3 linked regions of the Coturnix japonica genome follow. The protein of the gene in region 3 purifies or fractionates together with the protein of the main gene of each other region. This does not show direct contact. Links are inferred from orthologs where the notes say so. Each region holds a gene or a part of one and is shown on either strand. Other genes may lie near its edges.

Region 1 (7,462 bases), on a different chromosome or scaffold from region 3:
TGTGTGGTGAGGGAGCATTACAAATAGCAGGAGCCAGGGATTAGCCCTCCTGTGGGGTGGGAGATGCTGCATTAGGAACAGTAAGGAACTGGAACTTCTTATTAAAAAAAACCTACATTTGGATGTTTGGAACACCTCGATGAGGTAAAAATGCCTCTTCAGGTGATTTAGCAACAGCAGTAAAGGTAGTTTGAATGCTTTGGCTGTTCAATCTCTTGTTAGGCTTCATTTGTCATCTGTGCTGCTAGCATCTAAGTACCTCAGAGACCTCTGAACACCTCTCCAGCACTATTCACTGTAAATAATTATTTCCTTACTGTTATTTACTGAAAGGGGCTGCTAAGCAGCACATCTTCCTGCCACTGAAGTAAAATGTAGAAAAGTGTAAATAGCAATAGCTATGGAAAATGCTGTTGTGCTCATCTGTGTGTCTGTATGGCAGAATATAGTATGTCCTCTGCAGCACAATGAAATGGGATCGTGCCTAATTCCAATTTGTGTGTCATTGCCATTAATGATGCCTAGTTAAGACATCTATTAAAGGTCTTTAATTAACAGGACTACGCCAATAAAGTTCCATTAGCTTCCCTCTATTAATTTAATATTATAGGCATTTAACAGATGTCTTAATTAGATGTTACACTGATAGCTATAAGCAAAATGAAAATGAAGCCTTTGTCCTGCAGAGAAAGTTTCTACTGTCACTTAAGCTTTCTGCCAATTTGTTGATATTTCCTTGTGGATTCTCAGAGAAATCTAATGGATTTCAAAGAACTTTGGGAGGAATTATGCTTAAAGGGAGATACCTTGATGTAACTACTTCAGAGCTCGACTAAGTGCCTGTTAACTTTAAAGTACTCGTGAACAGAATCCAAGTCCTTGTCTAGTGATTGCAAGTAGCTACAAGCCCAGAAAGAATCATGATTTCTCACCTGTGAGGCACTGTCCTGATTGAAGCACCTGTGGTTTAAGACATGTCTTGCTTGTTTAAATGCATGTGCTCAGTTAGAGGTTTCACCTCCACTTCTTGTGCATTTGCATTTTAACCATTACCCCAAACAATGTATTTTTCCATTTGGGTAGGTAGTTCTAGGGAAAAAAAAGCATAAATAGTTCCAGACTAAGATAAGAAAGTTACTGACCTTGGTATTTATCAGTCCTTGGAAGTCAGATACTAAAACATTCCCTGGTTTAGCGGAAAACAATCCAGAAAGCATTCTTGATACTCATAGGAGTTCTCATTGACCTGCCAGGACATGATACCTTTTGCAGCATAAATCACCTCTGTTGCTGACTCAGTAAACATGAAAGACATTTTTGCCCAATGCTTTCATTATAAGGTTTTTCAGTCTAGCATGGATACAAGCTGAACAGGCAGCAATGATTGATCCAGGAGCAATCACATAAAAGCAGTTACCAGCTGCAGTCTCCTTACACAGTGACAGGTGTTATTGCTGCCTTCTGAACGAAGCAGGCTCTGTAAGCAAGTTATAAGATAAAACATTCACTGAACAAATATACAGTCAAAATAGAAACAAAAACCAGGTAATCAGTACTAATCACAAGTTTAATAAAAGGCAGAACATTACACACAAGTAAAAGATACAACTAAGACTTCAGCAGTTTGACAGACTGCTTTAAAGATGAAACCAGTCATTCTTCAGTATGAAGAAACACTTCAGAAAAATCTCAGCTAGTTAACTCTGTCTTTCAGTCTGCCAGAAAACCTGTTTTGTAAACTGAAGGAGAACAGCAGACATCTTAATTAAACTTCCTTTTGATTTGCTATGAAATCATAGGTCAATAGTTCCTTTCAGCTTGAACTTCTTTGCAGACCGCTCACTTGCTCGAAGCTGGAACTTGCTTCCATAGATGTAGGAAATGAATCCATCAGTCTCCACACTGAATACGTTGTTAATTTTGGGAACAACTGAAAAATGGAGAAGTAGCATTATGCATAGATACTGGTGTACCAGGGAATACTATTCACATGCAGGCTTCAGGTTCATAACATGTCAAGGTTTAATGCTGCAGTGTGAGAAATACACTCAATACAGCCTGTACATTTAAGGGCAAAACTGACAGAATTCAGTCCTTGTTCACAAGTGTGCAGTAAGAGTTGCAGAGAACGATCTACAGTGAATCAGATGAATGAACCATGTGCATAATCATGTTATAAATCACTGGAAATATGTTTTTAAATTACTTCTAAGGTACATTATTGGGTTTTTACATGTCAGATAAAGACATGAACTTCTGCCACTATGCAAAGAATTACAAGCAGTGGTAAAGAACAATGTATGTATGTGCTCATACATTTACTCAGAAGTATAATAATATGATCGATTCTCAGTAACTCACATTATAACAAGCACTGAAAAACATTTGCCATACCTTTTAGTTTGTTGTCTTTAGTAATAATCTTGAAGACATGTTTGAATTCCTGTAGGATTATTCCCGTTATCCCAACATAAGATGGACACTTTGATTTTGTGACTGAAAGAACAAGAATAGGAATGTGTTAGAATAAATTCAGGTGCAGCTGGTTTGCTGTTCCATTATTGCCTCATCATTTTAGAAGTCTGAGATAATAGTCTGAAGTAATTATAGTGATAACTGGTAGAGCAGTTGAAAAGTTAAGCAGCACTGGTAAATGGAGAAAGAATCCATCAACACAATTACATTATCCTAGAGTTGATACTGAAAGGAATTCAATGAGCACCTGAAACATAAGAAAGTACAGCAAATCTCAGATAACTGCAGAATAAAGCAAACAATACCTGTAACAACAGCTCCATGGAGGTCAGCTTTCAGCAGTTTGCTCTGCACCATCTGTGGTTGCCTTGAAGAAAAGGGTAGGATCAGAGAGGGGAAAAAAATACATGGAAAAGCATGTTTATAAGGTGTGACTGTGCCTATTGAAATACTGGTCAAAGCTTACAGAAATAGCATATATCCTTATTAAATAATTGACATTTAAGTTTAATCAAATTACTACTTGAAATGCCTTAAAAAATGGTGGTGGTTAGATTAGCTAAACTTACGCATCTGGTTTAAGTCCATAACACAGGTCTCTGATGTATTGCTTCCAGAGTTCATGTAGTGGTAGAAATAGTTCATATCTGCAGTTAGAAGGCAAATATTTTACAATAACTTAATTATATATATTATAATATATTATATTGTAGATTGTCTTAGTAAGCAGAGTTAAAACTAAGAATTACACATGTTATCAGCTGCACAGATCACTTAGTAAACCACTCCAAGTAAAGCTGAATATGCTCCGAACAAACCCAAGGGGAGGGATGTGTTTAAGAGCTTTCTGCTCCTCTTTCTCCCCCTTGCTTCCTTTTAGGAGCAGCACTGGCCTTACTCAGCATGTCCTGGGTCAAGGAACATAATGCAAAATGGAGATTCACTGGTTGCAGCCATTCTGGGGATTAGAATTGAAGTCACAGGTGGCAGCACTTAGGAAAGAACTGGTCAGGGATGAGCTCATCCAACAGGCAGCCCAGGTTATAGCTGTGCTGTGGTTTAGTGCCACAGAGCACACAAACTCACTCTCATACCTCTGCTGCTCAGGCTCGATATCAAACAGCCCCAGCTCCCTCCTCTGTTTGGCTGTGAAGGTTTTTGTTTTCCTTCTCTTTGGCTTCTTCCTCCTCCTGCAGTGGTGCTCCAGAACCACGGCCTTCCGCGTTAGCACATCCTGGATGGCTTCGTCCTTCTTCTTGGGCATGCTGCGCTTCAGGAAGGCGCTCACAAACGCTCTGGCCTCCTCTGACCCTTGGGGCTAAAGGTGTTTAAAAACAGACTTTAATTAAATTAGAGCCCGGCTGCCCGCCGAGCTGAGGCAGCGCTGGGCAGAGGCTGTGGGGGTACATGGGAGCGGTACCTGTAGGCATAGCTCCTTCGCCGCCTCGCGGGGCAGCCCGCTGTACAACACACCTGCGGGCAGACAGCGGGCTCAGCCGGCCCTTCATCTACCTCCTCATCCTCATCCTCCTCCCGTCCCGTCCCATCCCTGTACTCACCCTCCATCTCGATGCTCCGGCGCAGCCGTGACGTGTGTGCGACCGGGGCGGGCCTGGCTGCATCCCCCCCTTCCCCTCCAGTGCGGCAGGTGGAGCTGCAGGACAGTGCCGCTCTATCAAGCGCTTCCCAACGCTCTGTGTGCCGGGGTGGGGGCTACGGAACCCGAGCTCAGCCCCCTGCAGCAGTAGGAACTTTGGGCCTGAGCATGGCAGTTTAGTACGAGGATACACATCCATGTGCACGCAGCATCTCCTGCTCTTCCGAGGGGTTCGCCCCTTCCAGCCCTGCTGCACTCCCACACCTCTTGGCACAGAGGTGCTCTGGAAACAGTACCACAAGTTCCTCAGCTTAGCAAGTCCAAGCTCACATTAAAATAGAGGTGTTTGTATTCCTATCACGGGGTGGGTATCAGCCACACGTGTAACTAAGTGCCCCCTGGGGAAGGAGGCTGACAGAGCTGCCATGACAGAGCATAGGAAATGTGAGCATTGTGTTGAGTGCTGCTGTGGAGCACAGAGGTACTAAAGCAGTGTGTAACAAGGGACAAAACTGCAGATAAATGTGTATTTGTAGAGAAAAAAAGGCCAGTCCCTTCAGATTAATAAGCACAAGCACTGGTTGGTTTGTGTAACAACCAGAAAGATCAATGTGATGGAAAGGTGATACAAGAGCTGTAATAATAAAGGGACTAATACAACAGAATGGTGTTAAAAAGGAAGGATAAAGGTCTGCTCACCCATCTCTGAAGATTAAGGTCACAGGCTTCACCAAGGAGGGATCTCCAACCAGAGAACCTTCCCTGGTGGCAGTCAGCCCTTAAATGAGGTGTAAGAGGTGCAGCCAGGCTCCACCCTTCCACTCACAAAGAGAATTGCCTCCACTTGTGCTCTCAGGGCTGAGCAGGTCCTTTCTCAGGTGCCCAGTGATTCAGGCTGGGACTCAACAGTTCCCATACAGCGTGTATGAAAGGTCTCTTGGCAGTGTAGGATGTTGCCACAGCAAACAGGTGCCTTGTTTTTACAAAGCAGGGACTCCTTGAGTTGTCATTGCTATTTAAGAAAAGATCAGTTTTCATGAATGGAGTGCCAGGATGAACGCTATGGGTCTTCAGGGCCGTATGAGTGCTCCTTGGCTGGATTTATGCTGCAGTTCCTAAGGCACTTAAGGGATTAATAGTCAAATCGGTGTTGGTGATGCCAGTGTAGTAAATCCAATGATCCAGGCTAAACAGGTGCCTGGGGAAGCCAGTCTCTTCCAACAGCTCTACATCTTCATTTCCCAATCTATCTTCAGAGACAGTGTCTGATAGAGCTGGGTCAGCTTGTTAGTGTGTGTTCCAGGGAAAGGGCTCTGAGCTGGGAGTGGGACTCAATCAAATAAACATGAAAAAGAGCAGGAGGAAAAAGAATACGTGGAAATATTTTATGGATCAGAAAGGAAGAGAAGGCTCAGAGAAATGAGGGAAGATGAGTAAAAAGGGAATTTGGAATAAAATCAATGCAGAAATATGTAAACAGAAGTGCAGATAATTCTAATGCATGTTTCTGGATGTCTCCACCTCACTTAGTGTCAGAAGTGTCTTAGTCTCAGGCCTTTGAAGCTTTTTACTTTTTCAAGTAAATCAGCTTGCAAGCACAATACAAGTTTATGGTGATATAAACCCCTAATATATATTACTTATTCCCCTTTGCAGGTGCTAGCATTGGTATTTCTTATCCCATTAAGTCTGTGTATGGCTATATTTATTGCTTTTTTAGTCTATGTATCTATGTATTTGTGAACACCCAACAATGAACCACCATACATGTGTACAGCAGGGGGCCATGTTGCTTCGGCTGTCGGTGCGTTGAGTTACAGTGGGTGATGGGAGAAACGAGTGCAGGCCAAGGCAGGTAACAGCAATGTGCTGGGGGAATTTCAGTGATGGGAAGCACAGAGAGCTACAAGTGAGGTGCAGAGTATCCACCTGCAGAAAACAGAGGTGTTTGTATGATGTAAGAAGAGATGATTGTGGTGTTGCTTTGTTTGTTTGTTGTTCAAGAGTAATTGTGAACTGAAGCTGGAGATGAGCAGAAGTGAAGTGATGTGCATAGGAGGTGACTGGGCTGTAATCACGGACTGCTTTTCCTGATTGCAGCTGATACAAGAAACAGATACTGTAATTCACCAGAAAGAGCATCTCAGCCAGCACTGGAGTTCTTAAGATCAATGCAGTTTGTTCCTCTTGGCCAAATTGTATTAGCAGTCACATTTGGTCCCTTGGGACAGGTATACTGGTGAAAATAATTGCCGCTTTAAACGCTCCGATCTGATTTCCCTTACCCAAATACCAAGTTGTTAATACATTTCCCAGCCCCTGGCAGTGCTGAAGCAGTGAGTGTTCAGCCAGCTTAACTCCTGCCTGCTTCTCAGCACTCCTCTGCTCCTCACCAGAGGGCAGCCCAGCACCGAGAGCGAGCCGTCCTGCTGCAGGGCTGCCTGCTGAGAGCTCCAGACCCGCTCCTACACGGGGCAGAACCCAGCTCTATCAAGTATTAGGAGTCAAAAATTGCTTTGTCTTTGGAGAAAATGTGGCTGTTTGCAGCTTCTTGCAGCATACATGGCTCCAGTTTTCACGTACACCAGCCTGTTTTACATCACAGTAAATTTATCTGTGGAAGAAGGCTTTGGGGGAATTTCATACCTTTTTTTTCCTAGGAAATGGTTGTTGAACTCTGCAGGTCTGTGTGATACGGTGTGGTTGTGTTGATTGTGCACTTTCCCAATGGTAAGTTTTGGCCAAAGATACATTACATCATCCAGTGCATCTCTCTGTAGGGCACAGGAGCCCGCTGTGCTGCTGGTGGCACTGGGAGAGCGTTCCCAGGGTAGGGCAGCCCCTGCCCCATCAGCCGGGCTGCAGCGTGGGGATCTGGGCTGAAATCCCAGGAAATTTGAAAAGATTCATTAGAGACAAATTTCTCATCTTTGCTCTGTAATGAGGCATCCATCTCCGAGGCATCGCTAGCTGGCAAGGCCCTGTTCCTGCCATTCTCTTTCAAAGTAACACAATTAGGCTGCCAGGACTGACATTATTTTTAATAAAATGAGTCAGCTTGCACTGTCCTTGCCGAAGAGATGCATTTCCATGTCCACACTAATAAAGGTGTCAAATGCCAAGGCAGCCGGTATCATTGGGTCTTGCTGCTTTGACTGTGTCTGTCACAATTCCCCAGTGTGCGCCGAGTCCTGCCCCCCTTACGTGTGTGTCCCTGGGAACTCAGGTAGGCCGGGGTTATTTGGGTGTTGCTTGTAAACGTATTAGCTTTTTATGACCAATTATAAAGGTGTGAGTGGCAGTGGAACAACTAGCCCAGAATACAGTGGAAGAATTCAGGCAGCTCCCACTCAGCAGAGTGCAGCTGATGGCACTGATCTGTATGCTGGG
Region 2 (7,248 bases), on a different chromosome or scaffold from region 3:
GTCCGCGTCGGACGCCGGGCTCTTCTTGGGGCACGACGGGGTCCTGCAGGCCTTGCAGAGGATGTGGAAGAGGATGAGGATGAGCAGAGCGATGATGCAGTTAAAAGAGATGGCAACGACCGCTCCGGTGGACAGAGCCGCCCCCATCGCCGCCGCCCCGCGGGACGAAGCGGAGCCCCCGGCTCGGGACGCGGCCTCCGCCCGATGGCATTGGGGGGCACGGAGCGCACGGCGGCGGTGCCGGCGGCGAGCGGCGGGACGGCGTCACCCCGGAACGGCCCGGACGGCGCCGCTGCGGCCTCGGCGGCGCGGGAGCGTCGGGGCGGCTCGTCGGGCGGCGCTGCGGCAGCGCGGGGTCTGCTCGGCCGGGCACCTGGGAGCAGAGCGGAGCGTTACCGGCGGCACGACGGCACGGCACGGCGCGGCACGGCGCGGCACGGCACGGCGCGGCACGGCACGGCACGGCGCGGCACGGCACGGCACGGCACGGCGCGGCACGGCACGGCGCGGCACGGCACGGCACGGCACGGCACGGCACGGCACGGCACGGCACGGCACGGCACGGCACGGCACAGCACAGCACGGCACAGCACAGCACAGCACGGCGCAGCACGGCACAGCACGGCGCGGCGCGGCACGGCACGGCACAGCACGGCACAGCACGCGGCGGGCAGCGCCGGCTCCTTCGCACATCGCAGCCCCGACGGACCCGCGGGAAGGAGACGCCGACCTCCCTCCCCATCCCGCAACCGCAACAAGTCCCGTCCCGGCCCCGCACTGACCCGCTGCCGCCGCGCCCCGGGATCCGCCGCTCGGAGCCGCGTCCGCTGCTCGCTGTCCCGGCGCGGAGCGGCGCCGTGTCCCGCAGCCCGGCTCGCTCCTCCCCCCGCTCCGAGGGGCGGCCCGGGCCCCGCACACACCCCGCCCACAACCGCCGGCTGCGGCCCCGCCCCGCCGCGCCGCGCACAGGCCGCGTGGTGCGTGCGCTGCACCGGGCGGGGATGGAGCAGCGGCTGCGATGTCTGAGCGACACGGCACAAAACACAACAACCGTCCCGGCACCTACACGTGCTTCCAAGGCACCTCTGCGCCACCGGCCGCAGACGTGGGGCTGCGCTGTCCGCCCACGAGTGACCAGCGCGGCCCCGTGCAGTGCAAAGCGTCAGGGACGGTCCGAGCGGCTGCACCGAGGAACGAGCCCGGCACAGCTCCGTCCTGCACCGGGCAGCTCGGCACGGCAGCGGGTACGATGCAAATCCGCCGGGCAGCTGGGGACCCCTCGTGGCTGCCAGCAGCACACACAGCTGCGGGCTCTGCTGGCTGCTCCTGGTGGGCTTCGCTTGGGGAGATGCTCCATAGCCCATAGAGTCCACGCTGGCACAGCAGCGCTGTGTATGGCCATGGCCCTGCGGCTCCTTCCTGCCCAGCATCACCTCCCACAGCTGATCCAGGAGCAGAGCTGTGGCACACGACGTGATGCTCCATCCCCTGCTCCATCCAGTGGCATTCACACCAAGTATTCTCAAATCTGCTCTTCCAGACAGAAAAAATAAACCCTTGGCTTTCCCATTGCTAGAAGAGGTGAATGGCAAAGGAAAACCTTCATCAGGGCCCACCTACAGGAGAAAAACGCCTGCAGCTGCAGCCCGTCAGTAATGCTGAGGGTGACCCCAGTGCAACGTGGAACACATCACACATCTTTTGTCACTTACAAACTTTATTTTAAACCCATTCCTATGCATTACAAAGGAGTAGAAAGGGGAAACAAGCATCCTTTGGAGCTCACCATTACCACCCCTGTGCATTTGCCCCTGCCTACGTGGTTTCAGGATGGTGATGACGTTAGTTGACTCCTGCCAGAGGTGTAACCATCAGCACCAGAGGGGAAGTGAGAGGACAGAAAGGGATGATTGGCACACAGTGAGCTGCACCCCTGCAGTCCCACATCTAAACCATCAGAACACTGGAAGGCTTGAGCAGAAAATGGCTTCTCAGGCACAGGTAAAGTGTCCAACCCAGCCCTGAGCTGTGCCATCCACACAGAGGAGCTGCAATGATGGGCTGGCAGCCCAACCTGGGACACATCTCCCCTCTAGGAGCTGCCTCATCTCCTGCCCATGCAAAGCACTGCCATACCTGGAATGCCTCTTTGGGCTCACTAACTGGATGCCAGCAATCCTTGCCCAAAAAGGTAAATCCCATATTTCCATCTCATCCCTGAGCCACAGGCTATGGAGTGAAGCCTGGCACCATCTGACAAGGAAACTTGCCAAAACACAATTTAGACAGCTACAATTTTGTCAATTTTGGAACAGTGAGTTCTCCTGTCTACCCCCCTAACAGATCTGGAAGCCTGTGTTCAGCAGCAGCTTTCCAGCCAGAGCAGCTGGCTGGTTTTTGTAACATCCCCAAGCTACACCCACAAGTGTCTCTGTCTCAGGACTTCACTCAGGACTCCCCGAGCCCTCCACTGGCACGAGGGTGCTTTCCCATGCTGCCAGTTCCCCTTCCTCCACCCTGCTTCCTCTTCATTTGGGCCTGGGACTCTGCTTTAAGTGTCTCAATCCAGAAGGCGTCAAAAGAGCCCGGAGCCTGATATCCAGGCTCCTGGGGATCAAGGGCGTCTTTGCTCAGCAGGACACATATGGCAGGAATGTTTCTCTTCACTGTCAAGGAATCCAGACCTGCCTCAGGCACGATGGGTTCCCAGATCTCCTCGATCTGTTTGAAAAGCACTTTGGTGATCTGGTGGAGTTCTTTGAGCCTTCTTTTCATGATCTCCACACACGTGATGGTTTTGCTGACAGCCTTGCCTGAGCCAGTGAAAAGGATCTGCCTCACTGAGTCCAGTTCCATCTTGCCAATGGCGTAGCCCATCAGATTTCTTATTTTACTTCCATCTTTCACTTTCATTTCAATGATATCAGGAGGCAGGTCAGTGAAAGGAAGAGGACAAGGCTTCTCCACGATTTTGGTCTTCTTATAGTTTTCCATTCTGCTGCACTGAAAAGGAAAAGCAACCCATGAATACCTGCAATTAGTGATAATACAAACCAGCCACTGTGGGCTTTCCCACTCAGCGAGAAGCGCAGCTGCAACTGTGGCTTCCAGCAACCTGTGCCAGCACAGCAGGGCTCAAAACTGAGGCTGCCATTGGCATCATTTCAGCCTCTGGCCACCAGAAAAGTCTCAGCAGCTCCACACACCTGTACCTGAGAAACTTCTAAAGGCTGCACAAAGGGCTTCTCGCTCCAATTACGTGCAGTCTTTGCTCCAAAGGGCACTGTCTGATTCTGTCAGCCGGACAGGGCAGATACAAACTATCCACCAGAACACCCCGATGTGCAGCAGTGCAAAGCACAGCAGTCATTTCCAGCAGCGGCAGCTCAGACACCGGCGGGCAACATGAATGCTGCCACAGGGGTCGAAACTGGAAGGAGCAGCGCTGGTTCAGCTGGCGGAATCCTTAGAAAAAGCAAAGAATAAATGAAAGAACTCAGGTAAACGGGCTCACGCTCAACCCCCACCCCCAGGCCCACAGAGTCACACGGCTCCCCCCACAGGCACGGTGAAGGCCTCGGGCGGAGAGCTCCGCCAAGGGGAGGCGGCCCAGCCCCACCATCCGGGTCCGGGGTGACGGGAACCGCTGTCCGGGCGGCTCTGCGGGTGCGGGAGGCGGACGGGCTGCGGGGCGGGATGGGGGACACACGGAAAGCACGCTCACCTGCCGGCACGGCGACACTCGACGCAAAATGGCGGCCGACGCCAGGCGTGCGCATGCGCGGGGAGGGAGGCGGAGTGGCGGAGTGATGGCGCCGGGCCTGGGCGGGCTGTGAGGGCGGGGTGGGCCCGCATCTCCCAGCGCACAGCTGGGCTCTGGGCTTCACTAAAGACATGTTCACAACTCAGTAATTCTGTTCTGTACCTGGATAAATTGCACAGCCCAGGCACTACAGGCAGGGGGCAGCAAATAACTCTTTCTGAATAAGAAAGGACCGGCTGCGGCTCTGACTCGCTGCTGCCATTCTGATCAGCAAAGGCACGACGTAGGGCAGGGTCACTTGCTTCCCCCAGTCTCCAAGTTCCCATTCCCACAGGGCACCAGGAACCGCCCCAAGAAGGGACACACAGATCACTGCTTCTACTTCATGCCAGGAGTAACGTTTCCTTATGACACATCAGCCATGGGCTGTTGGCAGCACGCGGATCTGCCCTCCTGAGCTTAACCAGGCATTCTGTGCCACTGATGCATTCACGGGAGGAAAAGACAAGCCAGACCAGTGCATTAGGGCTTTACTGTGATCCACGATAAGAGCAACAAGGGACTTTAAAAGTACGTTACTAGCTTGAAAACATTAAAATAAAAGATAACATATTAATAACAGTGGCATATTAAGAGAAAACTATATGCAAACAGTGGCATATTGATGGTGCTGCTTTGATTAAGGGCCACAAAGCCAGGGTGCCCCCAGGAGTCTGTGACACCATTTGCAGCATACTCACACTAAGTATAAAGATACTGAGGCAAGAGGATGCAAGCAGCTGCTGTGGTCTCTTCTGAATAATGCAAGGCCAACAGGATCCTAGGACTTTGGTCTTCGCCCTCCCTGCTCTGCCATCACTCTGCTGCAGGTTTCACTTCCCTGGCTGCTTCCAGCTGTGTTAGTATTTCATTCCACTGGACAAACTGCTTGGAGAGAAGCAGAGTCTGGTTGTTCCTCTTAAGGAAAGAGAAGCAAAAACTTCTAGGAGGAAATAAAGGTTAGAGAATAGCTGGAGCACCCATCAGCCTGACAGTGCTGATCCAAAACCAATTCCTTGGAGGAGAAAAGGGTGAATAAAACTGTGTCTACACAGCCTACACAGACTTATACCAACTACACACCACTTCTAAGCACTGCATAGTGCTGCAAATTAAAGGTCTTGCTTCAGAAAAGAACATAACTCCCCCACCCACTATAGTTCAGGATGTGTTTCAGCACTGGTATGAGATGAACTGCAAGGCTCTGGCAGGTCACAGGCACATTCAACTGACATGCCAGCTCCTTTGTGCTAAGCCACACTGTAAGCAGATCCATCACAAAAGCTCTGACTCACAGACGACACCCTGCCCTTCCTGTCTCGGATGGATAGTTCTGTCCCTCGGCACTGTAACAGGACTTCACTCCTGAGGTAAGTATAATAACAGGAACACAAACATCACTACACCAGAAAAGGTACCGGCCATTAAACCTAAGGCTGGGGATTGCCTGCTTCCAGCTACCTCTGACAGGGTGAGGTGGCCCAAGAGACAGGTGGGCAGTTCAATCCAAGGCACCAGCTAAAAGGATACTGTCTTGTTGTAGTTTTCCAAGAGCATCTTGACTTCATCAGTAAACTGCTCACACTGCTCCTGCAAAAAACAGTGCCTTGGTGAATAAGCAATAAATAACTTAAAGGACATCTGTAATTCCAGGCAAGTCAGGAATTGTCCAAGGCCAGTACCAAGATTAAAACTCAGGCCCTGGCCATGACCACTCACTGTGCCTGAACGAGTTTCAATAGTTGAAGGAAAGGTTATGAAGAAACACTCATGCTCATACGGTGCAAGAGCATCCATGCTAGACCGATGTGTGGTTTTTCTCAGCATCCATGCTTTGCTTGACTCAGAATGAAAACTCACAGCAAAACACAAAAAGGGGGCATGAAGTGCAACCCAGGCTACACACCCCATTCCCTCAGATGGGGAAGGAAAGAGACAAGGTGGCAGCACTGATAGCCATATAGATAGACGTGCAACATTTCAGTGACCTGGTGAAAAGCAGAACAGCAGCTGGTTAAACACACTTCTGCTTATTGAGACCTCTGTTTTAAGCAGGCTTATGGTAGGTAAAAAGCTTTTCCAACTCATAATCAATTGTTAGTAACCCTTCTTAAACTTTTTCCTTTTTTTTCCTTTTTTTTTTTTCTTGCTGCAGTTTTAAAGATGTGGTATAAATATGTCATCAGTACATCCACTATCAAATGGTTCCTTTTTCTGGCTAGTCAAGACTGTCACAAACATTCACATTACCTGTTGTTGTATCTGGATTTGAGAGAGTCGCTGTATTTTGGCTGCATGTTCAGGAGCCGCTGAAAGCACAGAAACCCATTTTTTTTGTTTTACATCACATAGGTTTAATTATAACAAAAAACAAACAAACAAACAAAAACCCAACAAAATAGAACATTACTTTTCAAGGGCAAGTCACAGCAAAGTTCTGCTCAGTGAATTGCTGATTGTGCTCCACACCACAAACGTGTTTTTAACACAACTGGAAAAAAAAAAACCTACTAGCAGATAAAGCCACATAGCTACACTGCACATCAAATAACAAGTTTACTTGCTAACTACTCAAATTAGGGCGAGTTAACAGATGTTAACAATTAGATGAACACTGCAGTTAACATTAAGAGAAGCATCTCTGCCTACACAAGGAACACTGATGTTCTGGATATAAGACAGCTCATAAGCAGAACCCTGAGAGTTACCATGGCCTGGGCATTGTACACAGTGCTTAGTCACAGTTTCACACCTTTTGCCAAGCCACTGCCTCTAACTTCTTTATTAAACTATACAGTCACCTCCCTGACCCGTTGGTGCAGGGGCCACATTCCCACCCCAGGTGTGTTTGGTAATAGCTAAGATGTTCAGCAGTGTTCTATTAGACAGCAGAGACTAGACATGGAACGTAAGAGCAATGTAAGGGAGGAGCAGATATACCACCGTGTACCTATTTTACTCACAATAAGTTGTGTGCTTAGCTGTTCTCAAGTCTGAGGCTCATGAAAAAATAAACAATACAACAGCTTGGAGGATAGCGTTTGCAACTCAGACACCTGGAGAAGAAGAGGCATACCTTGGATACTGGCACTGTCTAAGATGGGCTCTAGGTTCTTCACCTGCTCCAGGAGGGCTACTCGGGAAGGAAGAGACTGTTCCTCTGATCAGGGAGAGATAATAAGAAATATTAGGAAACAAGACAGCACTTTGGCTTCTCACAAATATTGGTGTGTTAGTGGGTATGAACCTGTTTTCTGAACCATTTACACCCAACACACCATCAAGCAGCTTGGTAAATATAGAAAACAAAACTCATAGCCAAAGCTAGAGTAAAGGCATGAAAGTCTCTGACTACAGACTCAGAAATTCCCAAGTTACAGGAGCTCTTAAACAGGTCAGCTGTAGGCTCCACCTTGAAAAGGGACTTGTCCTACTCCAAGCTGTTG
Region 3 (7,520 bases):
CCCTAGCTGGGACTGATTGTGGAGGTTGCCACAACCCAGGTGCAAGACCTTGCACTTGTTGAACCTCATGAGACTCACCTGGGCCCACCACCTGACACTGTCTAGGTCTCTCTAGATGGCATCTAGGCCTTACTGAAGTCCAGACAGGTGACAGCAGTGGTTCTTCCCTTGTTCACTGAAGCAGTTATACCATCATAAAAAACAGGCAGGACCTGCCCTTCATGAACCCATGCTGGTTACCCCATATCACCTCCCTCTCTTGTACGTGCCTTACCACAGATACCAGGAGGATCTGCTGCATGACCTTCCCAGCACAGAGGTGAGGCTGACAGGTCAGTAGTTCCCTGGGTCATCCCTTCTACCCTCCTTAAAAATGTCTGTGCCACTGCCTTATTCCAATCAACTGGGACTTCATCTGACTGCCACGACTTTTCAAATATCTTAGAGTGGAGTGGCTTGGCGACTACACCAGCCGATTGCCTCAGGACTCTGGCATGCATCTGGAATAAATCACAATAATTTTATGCTGTTAACAGAGCACCCCCCTCCCCCCCCAAAAAAAAAAAAAATTATGGAGAGAAGTAGAAAGCCTTTTAGAAGACTTTTGACTCTTGCACACCCTCAGGAGTTCAGAGTCTGGCAAGGGAAGAAAAAAAAAAATCAGTTGGAAATGAGCTTCATTAAGTTGTCACTGTTACAATAAATACTTCAGTTCTTCTCCTTTCAAGTTCACCTCCTTTTACAGCCTCTTCACAAGTTTTCAAAAAGGACAGGAAATAATTTAAAAAAAAAATAAATCAGAAAAATATAGTTTTAATGTTCCAAAGATAGGTATTGAGCAGCACCAGAAAGTAGCTTTAACCTAACTGAAAAACAATGTCAGCTTCTCGACAACCTCTCTTTGAAAGTAAATTCCGGCATTCCTCCAAAGAGACTCACATTTGCAGTTGGTGTCCCAGTGTGTCATGGTTTTGTAATTTTTGCTATCGGTATTCCACATCATAACATCATGTGGAACACAGAGAAGAATTACATGTCCCAGAGTACCTCACGGTCAGAGAGGAAAACACATCACAGAAGTGACACTGGCTCTCTCTCACACTGCCTGGCAGTAAGTGTGGGTGTGCTTCCAAGTTGTGGCACCTTCAATTTTAAAGTAGGCTTCTTGGTCTTCAGAAACCTCTCTCTCTTATTTCACTTGATTTATTAGCCCCAATTTCAATTAGATCATACTATATTGTGTTATGTTGCATTCCGATATCATAATTAGTAAAATAAGTTCTCCTCCTTAGATTGTTGCTGCTGCTCTGTTTATCTCCTTGAGCCCAACTCCCATCTCCCTACCCCTTTCCCTTTTTTCTTTCCATTCTTGGGGCTGGAGGGAGAGCCCACAGGCCTACTGCCCCCCATCACAGACATAGATTGATCTAGATAACTCCGTGACACAGTGCATTCTTCAAATTGCACATCAGCTTGCTGTCTGCCAAGGGCAATACAGACAGATCACCTCTACCAACTCTTCCAATTCACTCTTAATGATACGACTCAGGAGCTTCCTGAGATGGTCAGATGTGCCACTTTTTCTCCCCCCATTTTGCAATGAAAGCATTTTGACAAGAAGTTGAGCTGAGCATTTGAAAGCAAGTCAGTCAGACCACTTGCAGACGTTTAGGACCAACTGATCACATCAAGGCCCTTTACCCTTCTAGGATTTCTCCCAATCTTTTAGTCTGCCTGCTGCTGACCAGAGAACCTACATTGTTTAATTAGCCCCATGACATGGCTATATAGAATGGAAAACAAAACAAAGCATGCACTCAAAGCACTCCAAGACACTGATGGTTAGTGCCAGCTCTATGACAACTCACAGATAGTACTTACATGGAACAATTTCTCCGTCTTTGGAAATACAGCTATGATGTCATACAATCTTATATTTGCAGATGTAGATCTCTACAAAAGGAGGAAATAATTACTACCTTGACTTCTGGCAGGTGACAAGCATACACACAATGATTATAACCAAAATAATAATGAGAAAATTTCCTCACCATTTTCAAGCACCAAAACAAAGACGATAATCTAATTAAATAGTAGGTCTCTACTGTGAGCAATTCTCTGAGGTCATTTTGAGGCTTGTCCCATCCACTCACATACCTTTTGTCTCAAGCACACAGCTCCACAAACACACACTGGTCTCCCTCCTGGTATTCTAGTGTACACATGGAAGTCCAGAATTCAAATAAAAGAATAAAGGAACAGAACTGCTACCCCATACTAATAAGCGATCAGCACAATCACGTTCTGTTTCACAGACACTTGCGTGAGGGGTCATGATGCTTCAGATTCTAAAGATCTGGTCTGAGAAATCAGTACTGAGTATCCTATGAAATCCATTAAATCCAATACACAACTCCCAAAGTGTCATTCTTTCGTTGAGAAAATTAAATTAAAACAAACAAACAAACAAGCAGATACACTGAATGTACTTACCAAGAGATTACAGTGGGAAGGATCAGAAACAACAAGTGTCAGCCGGGTTAAGACTTTAAGTCTTTTAGATGTCCCCTATGATGGAAAAATAATATAAGATTTTAAAAGCTGACAAACTTTGTGGCAACCTTCACCCTGCCTACTATAAAAAGAAAGTTGTGCCTTGCACCAATTCTTGCCTATAATAATTTTCTGGAAGTCTGTAGTTATGCTTCCCTAATATAAAACATATATATTGTAACTGCCCTTCAGAAAGAAGGGCTCACTGTGTTTCTCTGAGGAGTGGATAAACTGAAAGGAAAAATTGCAGCTCAGTGTAACAACACATAGATGGAACGTAATAAACACACCTGCACAATAGGCAAAGATGGAAACAGCTCTGATGGAGACACCGGCTTGGCTATTTCCTTAAAAGAAAACAAAACAAAGTTATCCAAAATACAACAGGGATGTTTAGAATGTACACAGAAGTTGTGTTCCAACTCCAAAAATAAGCTTAACATACTAACAAAATATTTCCTAAGGACAATTCACAGACCATAGTAAAAATTAACTCCAGGGCAGTAATACAGGCTTATAAAATCAGAGTTCTGTTATAAATATAAATACAAATGCCTTCATTTAGGTGAGTGCGTAAAAACAAAGGATAGAGGAGTGGCACAGAGATTTACGAGAGCAAACACATCACCAACAAAGAAGCTGAACTGAAATTACCTGTTTCTTTTCTTTAAAATCGATGACGTGATTAAGAGCAACTGCAGAATATCCCACTAAAAAAGAAAACACATTGTGAGCCTGCTTTGATCAGCAAGTAATGGAAACAGACACAAGGAGAAAACTGTCACATGCTCATTATTTAAATATCTCAAAATCAATAACGATGTGCACATTTACCTTTCACAGTGAATTTTGCTCAATGTTAACTCAAAGATGTGTCTTAAGAGTACAATTTTTTCTTTTAGCACAAGCCAGCCTTTACAACACATCCTCACTGACTGACAGTAACAAGGACAAGGGACTGTGCACGGCCAGTGCTGGGGTACGCACAGAGATGCACGGTTACCTAATGGGTACAGCAGGGCAGGCTGAGGTGTGGCTGTGAGCCTGGGGTAGTGGGGTAAGCCACAGGCTGCCAGGTCCCGGCTCTGCATCGACACGAAGGCTGCGCCTTGCAGCAGCGGACTGGAAGATGCATTATGAGGGGAGATGTGACCACGATTGAAGGGTGATACAAACAGAAAGACTGCCGTGGTGGACAGGACTAGAGAAAGCCATAAAGCCTGTGCTGAAGATCAGTAACCCTGGAACAAGTTCTCTGCAGAGGTTGGAGAGTAACCGGAGATAATAACAGCGCTGTTCAGGCACAGCACAGACCCCGTGCCCTCGCTGGGCAGGGCAGGACCGGCGCATGGAGCTTCCGCCCCGTCCAGCCCCGCTTCTCCATCCTTCACGCCGCTGCTGCAGCCCTCAGCCAGCGCCGCCTTCCAGCACAGCCACCCCATCCTCAACAACACATCCACCCGCTCCCAGCCCCGACTCACGGTTCGCCGCAGCCTCCAGCACGCTCTGCACGGCCTTCCTATCCGCGCCCTGCGGGACGTTCAGATCGGCGAAGCCGGCCATGCTGCGCAGCACGGGGCGGAACGAAGGCTGTGAGCGCAGCCGGCACCGCCCCCGGCGGCCCGGAGCAACCTGGGGCTGGTAGTCCTGCTACGAGGAGCGGGATGGGCTCTGGACCAGCAGGCGGAGCTCTGGGTGATGGAGCGTGCGAGCTTTTATGCGCTCCTGAACGTGTCCGTGGGGGGCTGTGCTGCGAGCGGAGCAGTCGGGAGCTCGGGGTGTGTGCGCTGCCCAGCAGGGGGAGATGCGCTTCTGCTCCTCTTAGCGGCCGGATCGCCTCCCACCGAGCGCAGCTACTGTATGGCCCGAGGGGGGGTGGAACCGTTCCTAGTTAAGGCCATCGTTTTCCTGCGTTAACTAAAAAATGTGAAATAAAATCCTAGGTTGATTAGTCCCAGCTTCTCTAGAGATATTCCCTAAAATGCAAAAGAGATGAACAATTCCAGGAGACCACAAATCAAACATGCTTTGACTCTGTAGCACTGTTGAAAAACCCACCCATTTTATTGCTGCTAATCAGCACATATGTGAAATACAGGTGGTAATGACCACTTTTGTTGCTGTTTGGGACAGTTACAGCAGCTGCTAAAACAAGCAAGGCTGTGATTTCTTCACATCATCAAGGTGGTATTGGGAGGCCTCACAAGCCCTCTGCTTCCACTTCCTTGAGCCTGGAGGTTCAGTGGGTTATTTGGAATGCTAAACCCTTAACCAGGCAGAATTGCTCCAGCAATGCCCACAGCTCCCAGGCACGTCCCTGCCCACAGCACTGCTCCTTGGCACACTGAGGCCGAAGAGTTTATAAGCTCCCTTTAAACACAGAAAGGCTGCAACGAGATCTCCCTGGTGCCTTCCCCAGATTGAACAAACCTATCTCCAGGGAAGTACTCCAGCTCTCTGAGCACCTTCGTGGCCATCCTTGTGACCCATCACAACAGCTCCATATCACTCCTGTGCTGGGAGCCCCAGGCTTGGACACTGTGCTCCAGGTGGGGGCTCACAAGGACAGTACAGAGTGAAACAGTCACCTCCCTCTTCATGCTGCCACCCCTCTGTTGATGCAGCCCAGAATACAGTTGCTCTATGGGCTGCAAGTGCACACTGCTGGCTCATATCCAACTTTTTGTCCATCAAGTCTCCAAGTCTTCCTCAGCAGGGCTGCTCTCAGTGAGTTTTTCTCCCAGTCTGAATGTCTGGGGTTGCCCCAGCTCAAATACAACACCTTGAATTTGGCTGTGCTGAACCTCACTAGGTTTTTGTGGGTCCATTTTTCAAGCCTATCCAGGTCTCCCTGGAAGATGTTCCTTCCTCCTACGTTTCCTATGTTTCAGCAAATTCTGCTTTGGCCTATCTGTGCCCTTAACATGTTTCCTATTGGAATAGCCAGTGCTGCTTCTCTGCCAAATATCTGAACACACAGCCCAAATCAAATGGTCTTCTTAAGGCTTTTCTGTGAAGTGTGTGGACATGGGAGAACTCAAAGCATTATTTCAAGTGTTTTTTTTGTTTTCTTTGTTTGTTTGGTTTTTTTGACAGTGTATGATGGAACTTGATTTAATTTGTCTGAATAAATGTGAGAAGAAATCCATAAATATGTATCAATTATTTCTGAACATCTCTTTTGGACTAATGTTCAGAGACATTAAACAAGATTAAGCAGCTTTTTTTTTTTTTTAGGCAACAGACAAGCAAAACAAACCTTTTCTCGAGGCACTTAAAATGGAGAGTACTTAAACAGATCATCCTTCAGAACCCTATTTCTGTGATGGCCCTCCCAGCATCACATATCATCAATTACTTACGCAGACCAGTGTGCAACCTTATTTCCCCCATCAACCACTTGGATGTTGACATTTTTGTTTAGGCCAGACCCAGTGATCTACTTAAAACATAGCTGTGGTTCTCACTGTCAGTCACAGACTTTGAGTGTGCTTTGTTTCTCCCGTGTCCTGAAGTCCTCCTAGTGCGGCCAATTTTTCTACCCTCGAGGAACATTTTTCATGCCACATTTAAATTTTAGGGAAGACCTTTTCAGGTCTTATGAAGTGATATTCCTCTAATGTACCTCCAGTGGGCAACTCAGGGTAGCAGCTGTCAGATATATATGTGTATATGTCTCTTTGGCTTCAGTTCTGCCTTTAGCATTTTAGGGAGCTAAAGATATTTGGCACCACCTATCTCAGCAACTCAGTAGCTTGAATCTCAATGGTCACTTTAATCATAACCTTCACAGTTTCCTTCATAAAGCTGTAGGCTGAAACAGGCTGAGAACTGTTTTTCAGAGTGATCAAGAATTTCTAGAATAAATTTCATTGTAATTGTTTTTTTCTCTTTTCAGCTGACAGCTTGCTGCTCATATTTGCTGGTTCAAAAAAAGGGAAGACATCACTTCCCATTTATTTAGCTTGCACAGGTGCGACTATTTATTTTGATGATGATAAGAAACGCCAAAGATGTGAATGGTAACCTCTCTATTTCACTGCCACAGAGTGGGGATGATTTATTTTCACAAAGGCAAGAAAAGACAGAAAAGAAACTGCAGCTGCAACATCTTTGCTAGAAGTTGGACAAGAGTGTTATTTGCTAAACTACATGCTGGGAATAAAAATCAAGGTTGCAATAATATTTGTCCATGGAATTTTACCCAGCCTCTGATAAAATATTCTAAATATCTTGACAACGTATTTCCCCAAGGTAGAAGAAATGTGTACCTATACTTTATTTATTATTCCCAACAGCAGGTCTTCACCAGACTTATATTGGTTTCCAGGAAAAGAAGATGAAAAGGAAAGAAAAAAAATACACAACAGGCAAATGAAAATGACAGTTTATCAAGACAGACGGCTCAGGAGAGGAAGGACAACAAGGGAGATGATAAAAAAGGAGGGAAAATTGCAAGAAAAAAACCACCCTTTATTACATTTCACATGGGTATGAAATGCATCCAGAATTAAATTGTTTAAGAAGGAAAATGTAGCAGCACCTCTAAGATTTTATGTTAAGATGAGCACAGACCTTGTTTTTCAGATACATCTGTGTGGGGAGTTACCGAGCAGTGCTGTCAGTGCTTCTCCTCTGCTGGTACAGTTCTGCATGCTGCAGTTCTGGACCCACTTAAGGCAGTGGGCTGTGAGATGGTAAGACCTGCTGCTCCGATGGGCTCTGTAAGCATCACACCCTCAGCAGGAGGGTGAAGCATCCAGAAAGTAGTGTGAGTTCTTTTGACACAGGCACTTTCATAAGAACAGGCTGGCCTCACCAAATCAGCATGTGCAAGTGACATTTTATTTCCTTTATTTCCTCCAAACATGTCTCTCTTGCCTTATCTTACCAACACGGAAGCAAATAATCGATACCAGTACCTCCAGTACCTACTACTGTAAGTTTTGTTTTGTGCTCTGTATAAG

Evidence for each region. Proteins that work in one complex are often made in the same cells at the same time.
Region 1: the proteins of RPP30 (region 3) and POP4 purify together in Homo sapiens (affinity purification with mass spectrometry; 4 studies listed by BioGRID and IntAct, counting the BioPlex papers as one, with this or other methods). This does not show direct contact. The link is inferred for Coturnix japonica from reciprocal best matches to the Homo sapiens genes RPP30 and POP4.
Region 2: the proteins of RPP30 (region 3) and RPP25L purify together in Homo sapiens (co-immunoprecipitation; 3 studies listed by BioGRID and IntAct, counting the BioPlex papers as one, with this or other methods). This does not show direct contact. The link is inferred for Coturnix japonica from reciprocal best matches to the Homo sapiens genes RPP30 and RPP25L.

The regions. Positions count from the first base shown.
Region 1 is NC_029526.1:7,092,755-7,100,216, reverse strand, and holds POP4 (ribonuclease P protein subunit p29), read right to left. Parts: upstream 4,160-7,462; 5' UTR 4,042-4,159; coding exon 4,035-4,041; intron 3,949-4,034; coding exon 3,896-3,948; intron 3,815-3,895; exon of another isoform or gene 3,794-3,814; coding exon 3,570-3,793; intron 3,123-3,569; coding exon 3,045-3,122; intron 2,843-3,044; coding exon 2,781-2,842; intron 2,497-2,780; coding exon 2,395-2,496; intron 1,931-2,394; coding exon 1,794-1,930; 3' UTR 1,549-1,793; downstream 1-1,548. UniProt on the Homo sapiens protein: Component of ribonuclease P, a ribonucleoprotein complex that generates mature tRNA molecules by cleaving their 5'-ends.
Region 2 is NC_029547.1:7,293,083-7,300,330, forward strand, and holds RPP25L (ribonuclease P protein subunit p25-like protein), read right to left. Parts: upstream 4,160-7,248; 5' UTR 3,725-4,159; intron 3,466-3,724; exon of another isoform or gene 3,207-3,465; intron 3,004-3,206; 5' UTR 2,995-3,003; coding exon 2,449-2,994; 3' UTR 1,700-2,448; downstream 1-1,699. Other genes in the region: ENHO (adropin), read right to left, coding at 1-147; DCTN3 (dynactin subunit 3), read right to left, coding at 4,619-4,708, 5,333-5,392, 6,053-6,111, 6,879-6,962. UniProt on the Homo sapiens protein: May be a component of ribonuclease P or MRP.
Region 3 is NC_029521.1:17,045,793-17,053,312, reverse strand, and holds the start of RPP30 (ribonuclease P protein subunit p30), read right to left. Parts: upstream 4,403-7,520; 5' UTR 4,117-4,402; coding exon 4,035-4,116; intron 3,264-4,034; coding exon 3,208-3,263; intron 2,901-3,207; coding exon 2,844-2,900; intron 2,569-2,843; coding exon 2,494-2,568; intron 1,954-2,493; coding exon 1,882-1,953; intron 1-1,881. UniProt on the Homo sapiens protein: Component of ribonuclease P, a ribonucleoprotein complex that generates mature tRNA molecules by cleaving their 5'-ends. Also a component of the MRP ribonuclease complex, which cleaves pre-rRNA sequences.